Macaca mulatta: one gene and its partners. Each later gene encodes a partner of the first gene's protein in a complex. Links are inferred from orthologs where the notes say so. Each region holds a gene or a part of one and is shown on either strand. Other genes may lie near its edges. The genes, in order: DDX5, PA2G4, SRSF1 and HNRNPH2.

Region 1 (4,151 bases):
CTCTACAATATTCAGCAGCTACTTGCTGCACCTGTTGGGCCAGTTCCCGAGTTGGTGCCAGCACCAAACACTAAGGAAAGAGAAACAGCTTTCAGCACAAACCTGGATACTAGTTTTAAACTATTAACTTATTAGTTATGATGGCAGATCCTTTCTTCATGTGTTGTCCAATACCCAAAGCAACTCCAGCTGAATAGGGTGAGCTAACCTCTGTATAAAACCACCACAAATAATTACATCTTTTGCTATGTAGTCTAAAAATCTATATATTACACTTCTAATAAAAAGTTAAAAATATATACTTACAATGGGCCCATCGCCTCTCTCTAGGAATGGCTGATGATTGATGTGGACAATGGCAGGAAGCAAATACTATTTGGGGTGAAGACGGGGACAAACAGAAATCACATTAAAATACTCTTGTTTTTAAATTAGCATTCCGTTTTCTTGCACATATTACATCAAGAGTTCTCTCAAACTTACAGACAATGTTTTCCCAGATCCAGTCTGTGCCACTCCAACCATATCCAATCCACTTAGAGCAACTGGCCATCCCTGAGCTTGAATAGCAGTGGGTTCAGTGAAATTCTGTCTTGCAATAACATCCATGACATTTGCTATAATTAGTGACAGATATTTAACAAAAATTAGTGATGCCAAGGAAAGGAGGAGGTAGGTGAAAACAAAAACACAGGGGTAGGGTAGAACTGAAAAGTAGCACTCACCAGGGAAATTAGCTTCATAAAAATTTAGAACTGGCTTCGGGCAGTTGTGACCTCTAACTGTAATTTCCTTGCTTCTTCTGTATGTTTCCACCTCTTGCTGCAAAACAAATTATAACAGTCTTAAAGCTCATGACAACCACCCCTAACTAAATACGTAATTGGCAAGCCCGTAACTTCATAATTTAGTAACTAGTTTAAAGTAGCTTCATTTTAATCTGGAACCGCGTATGAAAACCCTATATGACAAAAAAACCGTTTATTCTGCTATACTCAATCTAAAAAAAAAAAATTCCCAAAGCCACCTATTTGCAAAAGTGAGTCACACCTTTCCCAATTACGAAGTCAGAAAACGTAACTCTACCAAAATTGAGTTATTTGCAAAACACCTGTCAGAATTTCATTTACTAGACTCCATTGAGTTACAGCCTGATGAAGCCACATGAATTTACTCACTGCTGTCCGCCTAGCCAAATCAGGGTGCTCTTGATAGAAATTCTTCTCAAACTTGGGCAGCTCATCAAGATTCCACTTCTTTTTAACTAGTTTCTCCCCAGGGTTTCCAAACTTCTTTCCAGATAAGGGCCCCGCCCTACTTCCTCCAAATCGAGGTGCACCAAACCTGGAATGAAGAAAAAAAGTTATTTACATTTTCAAATGGCTACACCTAGGTTTCTGGACAGATTTGTTTACCATCCCTTGGCACAAGCTAAAGATCACTGAAAGCCGACTTCGAGAGGTAAACCTAGCACTGTCCTTAGTGATAATCTCTCTCTCAACAGCCACAGTTAACGTTTCCCGTAGTCCCAAGTACACACAACTTAGGCCACGTAAACAGCCTGGGATTTACTATATCGAAAACTTGTCACCCAGATGCCAGAATTTAGTATTACACACCACTTCTTGTGGTTACTATTATCTTTCTCACCAGTCTAGCAATTCATTATCAGTGATAACAAGCCTACATGAACCGAAGAGCATCACAACGATGTTACTCATATGGCCGTTTTCAAGCCAAAGAGCTTTGATGTCAACAATCTAGACAGCACAGACAACGAAAACGAAACAACGGTTTAGAAACACTTCTGCTAGCAAACCGAGCTGGGGGGACGCCGCGGTAGAGCTCCGGATCAACGAATTAAAATTATATAACGCAGGAAAAAAGAAAAGGAGGAGCCGGCGACTACCGGGGGAGGAGTCCCGGCCCGGGCGGAGCCGGCCGGGCGGCGTTCCCGCTGGGGCGGCGCTTCCCCCTTTGTCTCGCATTTCTCTCTGCGCCACATTTTCTCGACGCTGCCATTTTGAGCTCCTCCGCCGGGCGGAGTAACAAAGGCGCCGCCGCCATGTCCAAGGCCGGCATTTTATACCCGCGACTCAGCCACATGGCTGATGCCGGCCGCCCTCCTACCCCCACAGCACCAGTGGCTTTGGAGGTGGTCCCTTCGCTCCCACAGAATGCCCGACCACCCCAAAAACACCTCCCGAAAGGCCGCACCTAACAGCTGTTCCTTCGTCTGCCTCGAAGCGTCGCGCTTTCATCCGAACAATGCGCTCCCTCTGAATTCCCTCAACAGCTACCAAATGGCAGCCGCCCCGACGGCTCCCCGACCCCCACACAAAAAGCGAGGATGAAGACACTATCCCGTCAAATCTCTCCCACTCACTGTTACGTGAATATCAAAATGGCGCAAGCCTTCGGGAAAGGAGGCCCCAAGATAGCCCGGAAAGGCCGAGTCCAAGCCGCAAAGCCCCGGCCCGCCGCCACCCTGACCCGCCCTCCCATCCCCCACCCGCCAGCCCTGACAACTCGGCTCCCACACTCACCCTCGATCCCGGCCGCGGTCTCGGTCACTCGAATAACCCGACATAGCGTCAATGGTTGCGGTTGGCGGGGAACGAAGTAGATAGAAAAGGGTGCGACGAGTCGCTGGAAATGGCTTCGGCGACGGCGAAGCCTTGCGGGGGCGGCAGCGGAGGAGTGACGGCGATGACACCAGCCAAAGCTGCACACCTAGAGACCGGTGGAAATGAATGAGGTGCCGGCCGCTTTCCGGCAGCCGCTTTTATAGTCTGGACCTCCTCCTACGCCGCAAGGCACGCTGGGAGCCGCTCTATGACCTAATCGCCCCGCCCCTCGCGCAGAGGCCGCAACGCCCGCCGGCGTTCCGCGATCGCCGCGCTTTCACCCCACCCCGTGCCGCTCTCTCAGGTCAGGGCCCACCCACCATTGAAATGCCTCATTCTCCACTCTCTTGACCTCACCTTCTTCTCGTCTTTCCACACCTCAAGAAAGCCACCCTGCCCTTTCCCAAGCCCAGCCAGACGATAAAACAGCCAGCCCAAGCCCGCCCACCCTCCCCACTCGGAGGTGTTTACGTCTCCAAAGAGCCCTCACGCCTGTAACCAAATGAGAGGGAAGGCGGGGGCCTGGCGTTGTCACGTGACGTTACCCCCCCACCGCCCACCGTGACAGGGGGCCGCACTACTTCCCCGTTGACGTCGGCGGAGGGATACATAACGAAATAGCTCACCGGAAGTGCGCTGCCAGCACCCGGGACCCGCCCCCAGCTGCCGGCTAACTTGGACCGTCCGACCCACGGGTCTGACAATCCTGTGACGGGTTTTGGCCGGCGGAGAATGGTCTCTAAACTTCCCAAACCGCTTCCGTGGCACGTGCTGTGAAAGGAAGTGCTCCTCTGATGACCAATCAGCGGCGAGAAGTTCTTTTAACGTCCCTCCCTCTTTCACGCCTCCTTCCCCGCGCTTTAGTTCGTGCGCCCGCCCCCCAGCGTCTGCTCTGCGTTCGGTCCTTGCAGGACACCGTCGCCGGTCTGGCAGCGTCGGAGTCCGGCGGCGACCTGCTTCCGAGACATGGCCCGCTCGGAGGCTGGTGAGTGTTTCCCTGGGGTCGCGGTGTGTGTTTACTGAAACTGTCCACCTTCAGGGAGGCCTCGGGCTAGCCCGGACTGGGTCTGGGGTGTCGGCGGGGCTCGTTACTGTCAGACGCTGCGTCGCGGTGGCGGGTTCTCTGGATAGGGTCTCTCAGCTTCACCCCCTCTTCGCTTTGAGGCCGTGGAACAGCAGTATGAGGTGGGAGAGAGGCACTGGGGCGAGGCCGGTAGGACGCTCGGGTCCTGGCTGCAAAAAGAGCAGTCAGAAGGGTCGTCCTCGGACTTGTCTTTCTGTGGGGCGTCTAGCCGCTGTCCATGTGCCCTCCTCCCTTGCACTATGGGCCCTGAGGTCGTACCTCCTTTTGTAGTGGTCTTTAAAGGAACGGCACTCTTAAGGTTTATTCATGCCCCTGCCACAGAAGAATAGTGGTGCTTTTTTCTCTTCAGTGCCCTCTAGAGTCATGGGCTTTGTCTAGCACCGCTTTTGAAGAGCGAATTAATTTGGTTGTCTAGGACGCTTTCATCCTTTTCACTAGGA
Region 2 (4,074 bases), on another chromosome or scaffold:
ACAAAAAGCCTTCCTCCTTTTGCTTCTCTAGACACTCTCTTGACCTGCGTGGTGATTGGGGGTGGGAATAAGAAGGAAATAGCGGTGCATTCCCTACACCCCCAAGGCTGAACAGAGATCAAAAGCAGGCCACCTACCTGAGCTACACCAACCACAAAAGTATGTGCTACATTAGCGATGAAGCCATCCACATGGACCCCAAGGTCACTGAAAGGCAAGATCAGAGTGTACTGCATTAGGAACCGGCATTTTGTAAATGCTTTAAAAAAAGAAAAATGCTTTAAAACGGTTTAACCTTACATTTTTACCAAGTCACCTTCCTTGAGAATATAATCCTGGTCGCTCTTCAAAGGGGAGAAGTGACATACACAGTTATTTACCGAAATGCTGGTGGGAAAAGCAATACCTGTAAAGAAAAAATCATCAGCCTACTGCCTTGCTGTCTCCCAGAAGCCCTAGTGCCCTTCAGAAGAGTGGAAGGATTTTTTCAGGGTCTTGCTTAAGTTTCATCAGTTTGTATTAGGTAGGAAACTGCTTATATCCCACTTGTCATTCCAAATTTCCAAATATCTCAGCCAGAGCCAGGGTGGGGACTGCATCATTACAGTGAAAAAAATAAAAACATATAGGACCAAATAAGGGTCAAACAGGAAATTAGTGAGGGATTTTTTTTTTTTTTTTTTACCTTTCTTCATTTCCTTTTCTTTCTTGAAGATTTTCCCTGTTTCTTCCATAATCATGGCATCACCTTTCTCACACAGGCTCAGTACCGACACACCCGAGCTAGATGCTTCCACCAAGGACCGAAGTACCCCTGAGGACAGAATCCCATCATGTCAGCCTTGTATGTATTCATTGTCTAGTTACCTCCCAAGGAATACCTGGAAGTTGAACTTAAGAGTTTCTAATGCTCCCTAGTGCCATTGCCCTGAGGCTGAAAGGTCAACATTCCCTTCTCTTCCTTACATTATGTGACAACTGGGTATATGCAATCCATCTCCTTAGGCAAGGCCTCGGACTTTCCAAAGATGCTACCTTTGGTGTGACAGGACAGAGTTATGAACTTCAGAGAGTTCTTGCCATGGTATCCCCACATACATGGAAAGACTAGATGAAATTTATAGGCATCAGGGACAGGAATGTAGACAGAATTGCTGACTCGAAGCTGAAGCACTGTTAAATGTTACCGCCTTCCTTTCTCAGACACTCTAATTAGGTGTTAGGAATCTCAATCTATGTAGACTTAATTCCTCATAAACAAGTGTATAAGCCAAGGGGACTTAATCTAAGGTCCCTGGGTTTCATTTTGGGGGATCATGGCTTATCTCAAAGAAATATGAGGCCAAAGTTATAAACTGTAAGAAAGGGATTTTCTGATTCAAATCCCTAGTATCTCAAATACTAAAAGGCACCAAAACCAGGGTACTATACTAAATGTCCACTGTGATATAAAGCACAGGTTTGAGTTTTGAAATCTCAGTTTTGGTGATTCTTTGAAAGCGGGTAAAACTCAGATTTTCACCCACAGGATGGGAGGCATCCTAAATACCTCTTTCCCACCATCTTTGCTGTTAAAACCATTTAAAAACACAATGACAAGCAGTTTGTATCTCCCTAACTGGGTTTTAAATAAAATGGAAAGGCTAACTAGAAAGAGAGAAAAGAGAAAGTGACATCGCCTAGAGTGGCAGGCAACTGCTGAGATCCTCAGAGCACAGCTGGAATAAGGATGACTTGTGAAAATCCTAAAATCAGTCCTCCCTTTTCCAGTAATGTTCGCAAGCTTGCCTAGTTGGGATAAGACGGAGACCCCAAAACATTTGAGTTGTCAAGTCACTTTGAACAACAAATGTGAATGCTAACTAAGGCTATCTGCACAGATTGGAAAGGTAGTAATAATGAGTAACTTCAAGAAAAGCCATATATATCTCCAAAACTTGTGTTAGAAGCTCCAGGAGTGCTCTCCAACGGTCCCCTTAGCTGGCCCAAGGGTAGAAGGGGGCCCCCACCAGGGTAAGAGCTGAAGAAGGAAAGGCTCCAGCAAAGCACGTGGTGGGGAAGCTGGTGTCAGGGACAGTACTGGAGGAAGAAGGGGGCCAGCCATCCGCAAGGGGACCCAGCAACACGTGCCGGCTCGGCTCCTGACGCCCCGCAGACGCGACAAAAACAGAGGGGCGCTTCTGTCGCCAATAGCTGGGCGCTTCCTTTTCGAGGTGGCCTCGCCGTTGCCAGAATCAGAGGAAGCAGAAATCGGGAATGAAGGATAGGAACAAGAGAAAACACGTCTTGCCTCCTAACAAACGGCCTCGGGTCGGAGCCTGCCAGGTTACCCTCTCTCCGCTCATCCCGGTCGCCGACCCGCACCTCCATAGACTTCAGCCTGGGCCTGGCCGCTCAGGTCCCAGGAGCGACACCGGGTCTTCCCACCACGCCGCCCCCAGCGGACTGGTGCGGGCCCCTCAGTAGCTCAGTTCGCATGACCCCTCCGCTCCAGCCCCTTCAGGGCCAGCCTGGCACCTTTCCCTGTCAGCCTTGATTCCCCGACCCCCGAGGTCGCACTCACTGTTGGCGATGTCGCCCCCCATCTTATACTTGGTCACGACCAGGTCCTCGGCGATAGTTTGCTCCTGCTGCTCGTCCTCGCCCGACATCTTCCTACTACCACCACTGCAGCCTCGTTTCCCCTGAGCCGCCGCCGCCTCTGTCTCCCTTCCCAGCCACAGGCTGTGGCCAGAGTCCCCTCGATCCTCGAGGAGAGGGCGAGCGAAAGCGCGAGCAAGCAAGGGAGCAGGCAGGCAGGCGAGAGCGAGAAGCTGTGAGCGCGCGGGCTGAGGCGCAGGGCACGCTGGGAAAACTAGTCCTCTCCACCGCCAGCCTTTAGCCGCCCTCGAGGGCTTTCGAACTACAATTCCCAGCCTGCCGCTCACGCTCCTAAGCCAGGCCCTGGGGCCTTGCCCTCCAAGGGCCTCGCACGCCGGAATCGCCGGGCACGCTGGGAAGGGTCAGGCTCCGGCGGGAAGGCGGAGCCGTTGGGGAGCTTGAGGGGAAGCGTGGTCTCTCCCGGAAAAACCACTTCCACCGAGAACGCTGTGCGAAAGCCAGTAACAGAGGGGCGGGCTGAGGGAAGAGGGGCGGAGCTACGGCGGGGAAATAGGTTTAGAGTCGAGCGAGCAGGGGTGGAGTAGAGTGGAGCCGCGGCGGGTGGGCAGTGTCTGCACCTAGGGCGGGGAGGCTGGGTGCGCCCTTCCTCGGATACTTGGGTCGGCTGGCGAAACCCGCCCAGCCGGTTCAGTCGTCCTCCGAAGCTGGGAGAACAGGGAGGGGCAGACAGGTGGAAGAAGACCAAGGGTGCTGGGAACGGGGGCCAGCTGCGCAGCCGGACACCGGAGGGATCATCCATTTAAAGGCCTCGTAATCTAGAGGCCGGACTCCTAATGAAGTAACATGACATTATTGTTCCAATAACAGGCACCTGGATGGGGCACCTAAGGGAAGTGTTCAGAAAGACATGTTTGTTGAGAGTTCTTACCGTGAAAAAATAAAAAGATTTGGTGACTTTTCTAAGATAATGAATTCAGAAGCATCTGGAGGTTTCAGTATTTGGCCTCTGAAGGAGACTGGACACGTATAGGGCTTTTTATAAATCTTCAAGCACGTGGGTTCTTTTTGTTATTCCCAATTGGTTGCCTTGTAGATTTCTACTAAAACCCTTAATGAAAAGGACTATGCGCTATGCTTGTTCTAAAGAAATACCAAGTAATAGTAGGACTAGAGAAATCTACATGGGACAGAGTAGCACTGTCAGAAGACAGAAAGGTGACTATCCACTGCTGAGGAGCAGATCTCTTATACGAAATGTTTTCACTTGACAGACAGGAAGCTGAAAAAAACTTTGGCATTTTTATTCAGACATGTATAAAAACAAAACAAAAAACTTCAGTGATACAACAGACATTTTCCCTCAGTTCCCCATCCAAGGGGACAGAGGTGTGAAGCTGAAGCTGGATCTTCTTTCTGTCCTACCTGGAAGCTTCTCACTGCTAGATGAGAAGGGCTTCTAAAAGGGGATCTTGG
Region 3 (4,255 bases), about 22 Mb from region 1:
TGTAGATCTGTTATCGCAAATTTATGACTGCAGGATTTGATTTTGTTGTTGTTTCCCCCTCCTTTTTTTTTTTTTTTTTTTTTTTTTTTTTTTAGGAGGAGTCTTACTCTGTAGCCCAGGCTGCAGCGCAATGGCGCGATCTCGGCTCACTGCAACCTCCACCTCCAGGGTTCTAGCGATTCTCCTGCCTCAGCCTCCCGAGTAGGCTGGATTACAGGCGCCCGCCACCAAGCCCGGCTAATTTTTTTTTTTTCAGTAGAGACGGGATTTCACCATGTTGGCCAGGCTGGTCTCGAACTCCTGACCTCAAGTGATCTGCCGCCTCTACCTCCCAAAGTGCTGGCGTGAGCCACCGCGCCCAGCCTAATTTTAATTTGAATTCATTAGCGACGTTTAAAAATCCCAGGATTTCACATAAAAATCCAGATTGCAGACGTCGAAAAAAAATGTAAAATGTTATCTCCCAATGTCGCAGGCAAATAAGATCACAGTCCTGAATAGCAACCGCGGTCTCTAGTGGACACGGCTCTCATCCATTTCGGTCCATTTTATTACCTGGGAGGACCGGTATTTTCAATTTCAGTAACTTTTAGAGGAAACTTTTGAAAAAAGGACTGCACACACGCACCTTTTCTTCCTTCTCGTTCTTTAAAAGGAAACAACAGAAACAATTCATTCTGCAGGCAATCTGCGCTAGTCCCACGGATAGGCGATTAACAAGAGATAAAGAGGTGTGGGTACCAGAAGCAGTACTGTTACCCCTTCTGGTTGGCGGGTACCACGTTGAAAGGTCGGGGTACGGGCCCACTGCGACTAGCACAAAGAGTGCTGAACTGAGCTATGCAAAGTTCTGACGAGAAGGTGGAATGGTTCTTAATGAAAAGGATTAAGGAATCTAAACCGGTTTCGCTAAATTAGACACATCTGTCTAAGCAGCCACAGCTTGTTCGCAGCAGGGGCGGGAAGACAAACCAACGCCCCAGCTCTCTATTCAGTCACCGGCAACTCAGCTCTGGACTAGACGCACTCTACGAAGATACCCGGGTTTCCGGAGCAACGGCCCGAGCCCTCCCCCTTTAGCCCCGCCTCCGAGTCTCTTTCCCGCCAAAGGCCGTTATCGCCGCAGAGCATGGTGGGACAAGGCTTTAGGCTAGGTTTCACCAAGTCCTTTGAAGGCGCCGAGTTGCTTTCAAAGCTCCTCATTCCTGGGGAAATTGACTATCCTTCAAGACTCGACCTGGATGACTAGCTCCTTTAACGAGAGTTCTTTATTTAACTTTTACCAAACGGCTGCTCACTCTATTCGCAAACCACCCCAAGCGGGGAACGCGGGGGACTTTTTTTCCCCCTTCGTGCGGAGGGTGACGTCGCGCGTGCGTGCGCGTGCGTTGCGCGTATCCCTCGCAGCACCCGTTGCGCTCCCGCGCGTGCGTGTTGGGATCGAATCGCTGTTTCCTTCCGCTTCTCTTCCTCTGTCTCCCCCCCATATCCGTGCGCCGAGCTGATAAAGGCGCCATTTTGGAGGGGCCGCGGGAGACGTGGTGCCGCTGCGGGCTCGCTCTGCGGTGCGCTAGGCTTGGTGGGAAGGCCTGTTCTCGAGTCCGCGCTTTTCGTCACCGCCATGTCGGGAGGTGGTGTGATTCGTGGCCCCGCAGGGAACAACGATTGCCGCATCTACGTGGGTAACTTACCTCCAGACATCCGAACCAAGGACATTGAGGACGTGTTCTACAAATACGGCGCTATCCGCGACATCGACCTCAAGAATCGCCGCGGGGGACCGCCCTTCGCCTTCGTTGAGTTCGAGGACCCGCGGTGAGGCGGCATGGGGCTTGCAGCCTTGAGGAAATAGGTCCGAGTAGTCGGGGAAGGCTCCAAGGCCTTAACATAGAGAACGGGGAAGCGGGGGCTCTTAGAGAGGTTGGGGCGAGACTGTATCGCCCATGCAGGAGTCGAGTAAGGAGCTGAGTTGGTGTGGCTTCTCTGGCGCCTCGCCTTGGACGTCCCCGGAGCCCATTCGCAGGCTGGAGCGGGAAACTGAGGCGCTGAGGGCTGGTGTAGTGGTTGGGAGCCTGGCGTGTTTCTGGGTGGGGGAGGGGCCATTCCTATTATGCGGCGCATGTGGGCTCTTCCACGTTGGGTGCGCATGTGCGGGGGGTTCCCGACTGAGCGAGCTTCTCCTCCTGGTCTTTCTCATGCCTTTTACTTTCTGCGATCCCGCAGAGACGCGGAAGACGCGGTGTATGGTCGCGACGGCTATGATTACGATGGGTACCGTCTGCGGGTGGAGTTTCCTCGAAGCGGCCGTGGAACAGGCCGAGGCGGCGGCGGGGGTGGAGGTGGCGGAGCTCCCCGAGGTCGCTATGGCCCCCCATCCAGGCGGTCTGAAAACAGAGTGGTTGTCTCTGGTGAGTGTACTTGGTTGTGTGGATTGATGTGAAGGGACGGAAGCTACCTAAAATTTTTGTCTTGCATGATCGGTTTAACAATTGCAAATTTTTCATGCTAGGTCTTAAATTGCTTTAGTTTTTGGGTGAATTTAATAAACGAGGATTGCTGCTGTGGTGATTTACCAAATTAGGTTGCGGTACTAGATACGAAGATCCGTTACAAATAATTTTGGACTCTGGATCCCAGAATCTTACCAGCTCTTTACCTGGTATCACTTAAGTACACCTATTAAGTATTTTAAAGTACTCTTTGTTCTAATGTACCTTACCAGCTTAACGTGAAATTTAAGATAATTGATACTAAGAAAAAAAATCACTTTTTCAGGACTGCCTCCAAGTGGAAGTTGGCAGGATTTAAAGGATCACATGCGTGAAGCAGGTGATGTATGTTATGCTGATGTTTACCGAGATGGCACTGGTGTCGTGGAGTTTGTACGGAAAGAAGATATGACCTATGCAGTTCGAAAACTGGATAACACTAAGTTTAGATCTCATGAGGTAGGTTATACGCTTATTCTTTTCTTTGACCAGAATTGGATACAGTGGTCTTAACAGTGGAATTTGAAGGTAAGAATTCAGGCAAGGGTGTCCAAGTAAATTGCCAGATTTCTGGTTGTAGTTGCATTGTATGCATTCAGCATGCCTGAAGATAGATGAAAGCTTAGATCTTTCAATGGAAAGTTCTGTCTATCCAATAGGGAGAAACTGCCTACATCCGGGTTAAAGTTGATGGGCCCAGAAGTCCAAGTTATGGAAGATCTCGATCTCGAAGCCGTAGTCGTAGCAGAAGCCGTAGCAGAAGCAACAGCAGGAGTCGCAGTTACTCCCCAAGGAGAAGCAGAGGATCACCACGCTATTCTCCCCGTCATAGCAGATCTCGCTCTCGTACATAAGATGATTGGTGACACTTTTTGTAGAACCCATGTTGTATACAGTTTTCCTTTATTCAGTACAATCTTTTCATTTTTTAATTCAAACTGTTTTGTTCAGAATGGGCTAAAGTGTTGAATTGCATTCTTGTAATATCCCCTTGCTCCTAACATCTACATTCCCCTCGTGTCTTCGATAAATTGTATTTTAAGTGATGTCATAGACAGGATTGTTTAAATTTAGTTAACTCCATACTCTTCAGACTGTGATATTGTGTAAATGTCTATTCTGCCCTGGTTTGTGTGAACTGGGATGTTGGGGGTGTTTGTGGTTATCTTACCTGGGGAAGTTCTTATGTTTATCTTGCTTTTCATGTGTCTTTCTGTAGACATATCTGAAGAGATGGATTAAGAATGCTTTGGATTAAGGATTGTGGAGCACATTTCAATCATTTTAGGATTGTCAAAAGGAGGATTGAGGAGGATCAGATCAATAATGGAGGCAATGGTATGACTCCAAGTGCTATTGTCACAGATGAAATTGGCAGTATTGACCTTATACTAAAAGGCAGGGGTTAAAAATGATTATATACGTTTTCCTTAAAACACTTGCAAACATTTTATTCAGTTATCTTTAGCTACAATTGCTTTGCTCTTTAAACCTTGGCAATTGTGGCAAAATTATATTGCCCATTTTGTAGCAACTTATTTTGCTCCCTTCCCCCCATTTTTGTTTTAATAGGGACTAATGTGGGAAGAACTGGCTAATTTGTCACAGTGCTTAGTTACAACTGTTAATGTGTGACCTGCTGTTGGTGTACATGTGGGTACAGGGTGTCTTTAAATCCAACAAGATAGAGTATAATATCAATACTGCTAAATCTGCATGTCCTCTGTGTGACTGATAGAGCGTTGCTATTTCATTTTTTTAAGACA
Region 4 (3,689 bases), on another chromosome or scaffold:
GTTTGTGATGAAATACAAAGGATTATTTATTCGCTTTCACTTCTTTGGATTTTAGAGAATACTATCTTGGTAAGTGGCTCCAAAAGTAGCTCAATAGTCCTGTAGACATGGTAAGTTTTTTTAAAAAAGAAGAAAATGTTCAACTTTAATATTAATCAAAAAAATACAAATTAAAATTGCAATGAGATATCATTTCTCAACTAACAGACTGGCAAAGATCACAAAGAATAATGTGCATCAATAAGGAGGGCATAAGGGGGAAAATAAAGCACACACTCCAGGTAAAAAGATAAAGTACCAGAATCTTGCTGGTAACACAAATCAGAAGCCTTAAAAATGAGTGTATCTTTGACTCAGCAATCCCATTTCTAGGGATATATCTTAGAAATAATTAATGATATATGCAACAATGAACATATAAAGATGCTAAATATATTGTTTATAATTTTAAAATTAAAAATTTTAATTTTGAGGGAATTATAAAGTCAATCAGCGTGCCCATATGACAGAACATAATAAAAATCAATCAGCACAAGATTTTTTCCAGTTTTTAAAAGGAAGATTTATTTAACAAGTTTCACTTAGTACAATACATCTAAATGGAAATCACAATACAAGGAAAGATTTAAACCAAAGCCTCAGAATTTCATACAAACAACACGACCAAACTTCTAAAGTATTGGTATTACATCTTAAAATTGTCCCGTATCCTTCAAAAAAAAAAAAAAAAAAAAAAAAAAAGTGTACACTCACGTGCCTTACAGGATATTAAACCAAAAAGCTAGAATTAACAAACATGCCAAATGTTTTCACTTTGAATCGTAGACACAGCTCCTATATTTGAGTTTTACAGAAAAGCATGTTTCTCAACATGCATCCGAAGTTTTCAATGTATTTGTGGTATAAGAGCAACATTTAACATAAGTGAAACTGCATTAACCTAAATACGCTTACTGCTTAGGTACACTCCTACAACATAACTAACTTGAGGAAAGCTAAAAATTGTTTTAACAGTTATGGTCAATACTGAACTTTGTTATTATGTCCTAGATGAATGTTTCAGTGTTCAAAATTACTGAGCTTGAAGTTTTAAAATAATCTCAACTTCCACTTTACAGTAAGCATGAATCACAAGCCTGTAATGCAAAACTGTTAAACTTAACTCTTGTTTTCTTAAAAAAGGAGAAAGAAAGATAAAGAAAGAGAAGCTGACCAAGAGTGATCAGAATCAATTATATTTCCCATTTACCAATCATACTGGATATACTAGACATCCCTCCCATTCTATTCAACTCCCACAAATGTACAGCTTTTATATATGGAGTAGCTGTTTGGTGCTCCTTCTCTACCTAAGCAAGGTTTGACTGATAGTCACTGGAATTTTCCTGCAGAACTTGGTCATATCCACTCATACTGCTCTGACCACCATAACCACCTCCATAACCACCACTCAGCTGCTGGCTAGCAGGACCTCCATAACTAGACTGGTTGGATAAGCCCATCCCTCCCATCATTTGGCTACCATAAGCCCCACCACTTGCCCCTGCTGTAGAATTCAAAAAAAGTTCTACATAGCTGTGATCGTAAGCACCCCCACTTGTTCCTGCAGTAGAATTTAAGAAGAGCTCCACATATCTATGTTGCATATTAGCTTTGTCTTTTGCCATAGCTGCCACAGCATCTTCATGAGTAGCAAATTCAACATCTGCCTCACCAGTAACTCTGCCATCGGGTCCAATTTCAATATGTACTCTCATGGGATTAAGAGGTGAGAAGAAATTATAAATATCATTCTCAGTGGCTCTGTAAGGTAACCCCCTCATGTGTACACAGTGCCCTGTGGTGCTCTGGAAACTGGACCCACCATCTCCATATCTATGATCAGACATTCCTGAAAAACAGTAATTGAGGTCTCTTCCAAATCTATCAGACCCAAAGCCATATCCATCATTATAGCCACCATAGTCATCATAGCCTCCATACCCTCCACCGTAGGCACCACGCCTCATCCTTTCAAACCCAGCTCCTCTGCCAATGCTATTATACCCTCTGCCAGCCCCCGGCCTATCATAGGGACCTGGCCGCTGCATAGCCATGAGCTTTCGAGGGGGATCATAGTGGGTTCGAACTTCAGCTCGGCTACTCTTGAAGATCTCAATGTACCTGTGCCCTATTCTTTCCTTGTGTTTCTTTAAGGCCTTCTCAGCTATCTCCTGCGAAGCAAACTGCACAAAGGCTTCCCCTGTGCTTCGCCCCTGAAAGTCCACTGGCAGTGTCATCCCATTTGGCACAATTTCCAACCCTGAAAAGAACTGAACAATCTCTTCCTTGCTACAGCCAAATGGGAGTCCTCTAAGCCGGACGAAGCCATCGTTGGCAGTATCAGGGCTATTCGGACCTGTATGCTTCAACACCCAATCCATTTCAACACTGTTAGACTTGAATACTTCAACGTATCTGTGTCCCATGGTTTCTCTGTCCTTCTTCAAAGCCAATTTCACTTCCTCTTCAGATTCAAGTTCAACAAATGCTTCACCACTTGGTCTGCCTTCTCTGGTGTAGATGAAACGAATACCTGATGTGCCATTTTGGATCTTGCAATCAGAGAAGAAGCGCATCACTTCATCGGCTGAGCAGGACCAGGGTAGGCCCCTGACCTTCACCACGAACCCCTCCCTGCCTTCCGTGCTCAGCATCATGGTGACTGTTGGGCTCTTGGTGGCAAGTTTGGCTCAATGCAATTTTAGTGTAGCTGAAAAAAAAAATTAGAAGACTACTGTCATGGAAAAATGCCCGTGATATAGTAAGATAAAAAAGCAAACTATTAATAGAAAATTCAACTATGCTGACAGCTTTTCTGTAAGATGTCTGTATAAACAAAGAGTTCACCAAATTTTTAACTCATTCATTTTTTAAGTTATTTATTCAATGCCTATTACATGTTGGATACCATTAAAAATTAATAGCAATCGGCCGGGTGTGGTGGCTCACGCCTGTAATCCCAGCACTTTGGGAGGCTGAGGCGGGTGTACCACCTGAGGTCAGTAGTACCACCTGAGGTCAGGCGGGTGTACCACCTAGAGGTCAGAGACCAGCCTGGCCAACATGGTGAAACCCTGTCTCTACTAAAAATACAAAAAATTGGCTGGGCGTGGTGGCAGGCGCCTGTAATCCCAGCTACTTGGGAGGCTGAGGCAGGAAAACCACTTTTATGTACCCAGGAGGTGGAGGTGAGCCGAGATCACGCCACTGCACTCCAGCATGGGCCACCAGAGCGAAACTAAGTCTCAAAAAATAAATAAATAAATAAAATAACATCAACAAATCAGTGGGATAGGTCAACAAATAAAAGATAGCTATATCTGAATATACACACATAAAAAACTTCACTAGATCAAAAGATTAAACAACAATTAAAACATTAAAACACAAACAAAACACAGGTTATATACGTTCTTTATATAATCTCCTTATATACAAATGTATGCAAATCAATAAAATCAGGGAAATATTTGGGCTTCAGAGATAAATGAAAAAAAGACATTATTGGGAATTCACACATTCATTTTAGAAATATTTTTTAGTTGCCATGTCCAATACTCAGCTCTGGCATACAAGAATCAATAAGCCCAGAAAGGGCTTATGATCCTACAGGAGCACCAAATATCATTATTAAAGATGTAAATGCA

Evidence for each region.
Region 2: DDX5 (region 1) and PA2G4 share a complex: the UniProt entries of both Homo sapiens proteins name them as parts of the ribonucleoprotein complex. The link is inferred for Macaca mulatta from reciprocal best matches to the Homo sapiens genes DDX5 and PA2G4.
Region 3: DDX5 (region 1) and SRSF1 share a complex: the UniProt entries of both Homo sapiens proteins name them as parts of the ribonucleoprotein complex. The link is inferred for Macaca mulatta from reciprocal best matches to the Homo sapiens genes DDX5 and SRSF1.
Region 4: DDX5 (region 1) and HNRNPH2 share a complex: the UniProt entries of both Homo sapiens proteins name them as parts of the ribonucleoprotein complex. The link is inferred for Macaca mulatta from reciprocal best matches to the Homo sapiens genes DDX5 and HNRNPH2.

Annotation. Positions count from the first base shown.
Region 1 is NC_133421.1:74,403,410-74,407,560, forward strand, and holds the start of DDX5 (probable ATP-dependent RNA helicase DDX5), read right to left. Parts: upstream 2,821-4,151; 5' UTR 2,591-2,820; coding exon 2,547-2,590; intron 2,525-2,546; exon of another isoform or gene 2,262-2,524; coding exon of another isoform or gene 2,218-2,261; intron 1,345-2,217; coding exon 1,179-1,344; intron 823-1,178; coding exon 726-822; intron 618-725; coding exon 484-617; intron 373-483; coding exon 307-372; intron 71-306; coding exon 1-70. Other genes in the region: CEP95 (centrosomal protein of 95 kDa), read left to right, coding at 3,594-3,612. UniProt on the Homo sapiens protein: Involved in the alternative regulation of pre-mRNA splicing; its RNA helicase activity is necessary for increasing tau exon 10 inclusion and occurs in a RBM4-dependent manner. Binds to the tau pre-mRNA in the stem-loop region downstream of exon 10.
Region 2 is NC_133416.1:63,253,383-63,257,456, reverse strand, and holds the start of PA2G4 (proliferation-associated protein 2G4), read right to left. Parts: upstream 2,848-4,074; 5' UTR 2,652-2,847; coding exon 2,564-2,651; intron 815-2,563; coding exon 686-814; intron 407-685; coding exon 301-406; intron 208-300; coding exon 138-207; intron 1-137. UniProt on the Homo sapiens protein: May play a role in a ERBB3-regulated signal transduction pathway. Seems be involved in growth regulation. Acts a corepressor of the androgen receptor (AR) and is regulated by the ERBB3 ligand neuregulin-1/heregulin (HRG).
Region 3 is NC_133421.1:51,982,143-51,986,397, forward strand, and holds the start of SRSF1 (serine/arginine-rich splicing factor 1), read left to right. Parts: upstream 1-1,418; 5' UTR 1,419-1,621; coding exon 1,622-1,815; intron 1,816-2,223; coding exon 2,224-2,408; intron 2,409-2,775; coding exon 2,776-2,948; intron 2,949-3,131; exon of another isoform or gene 3,132-3,148; coding exon 3,149-3,343; 3' UTR 3,344-3,708; coding exon of another isoform or gene 3,709-3,747; 3' UTR 3,748-4,255. UniProt on the Homo sapiens protein: Plays a role in preventing exon skipping, ensuring the accuracy of splicing and regulating alternative splicing.
Region 4 is NC_133426.1:108,302,315-108,306,003, reverse strand, and holds the end of HNRNPH2 (heterogeneous nuclear ribonucleoprotein H2), read right to left. Parts: intron 2,774-3,689; exon of another isoform or gene 2,753-2,773; 5' UTR 2,700-2,752; coding exon 1,350-2,699; 3' UTR 533-1,349; downstream 1-532. UniProt on the Homo sapiens protein: This protein is a component of the heterogeneous nuclear ribonucleoprotein (hnRNP) complexes which provide the substrate for the processing events that pre-mRNAs undergo before becoming functional, translatable mRNAs in the cytoplasm. Binds poly(RG).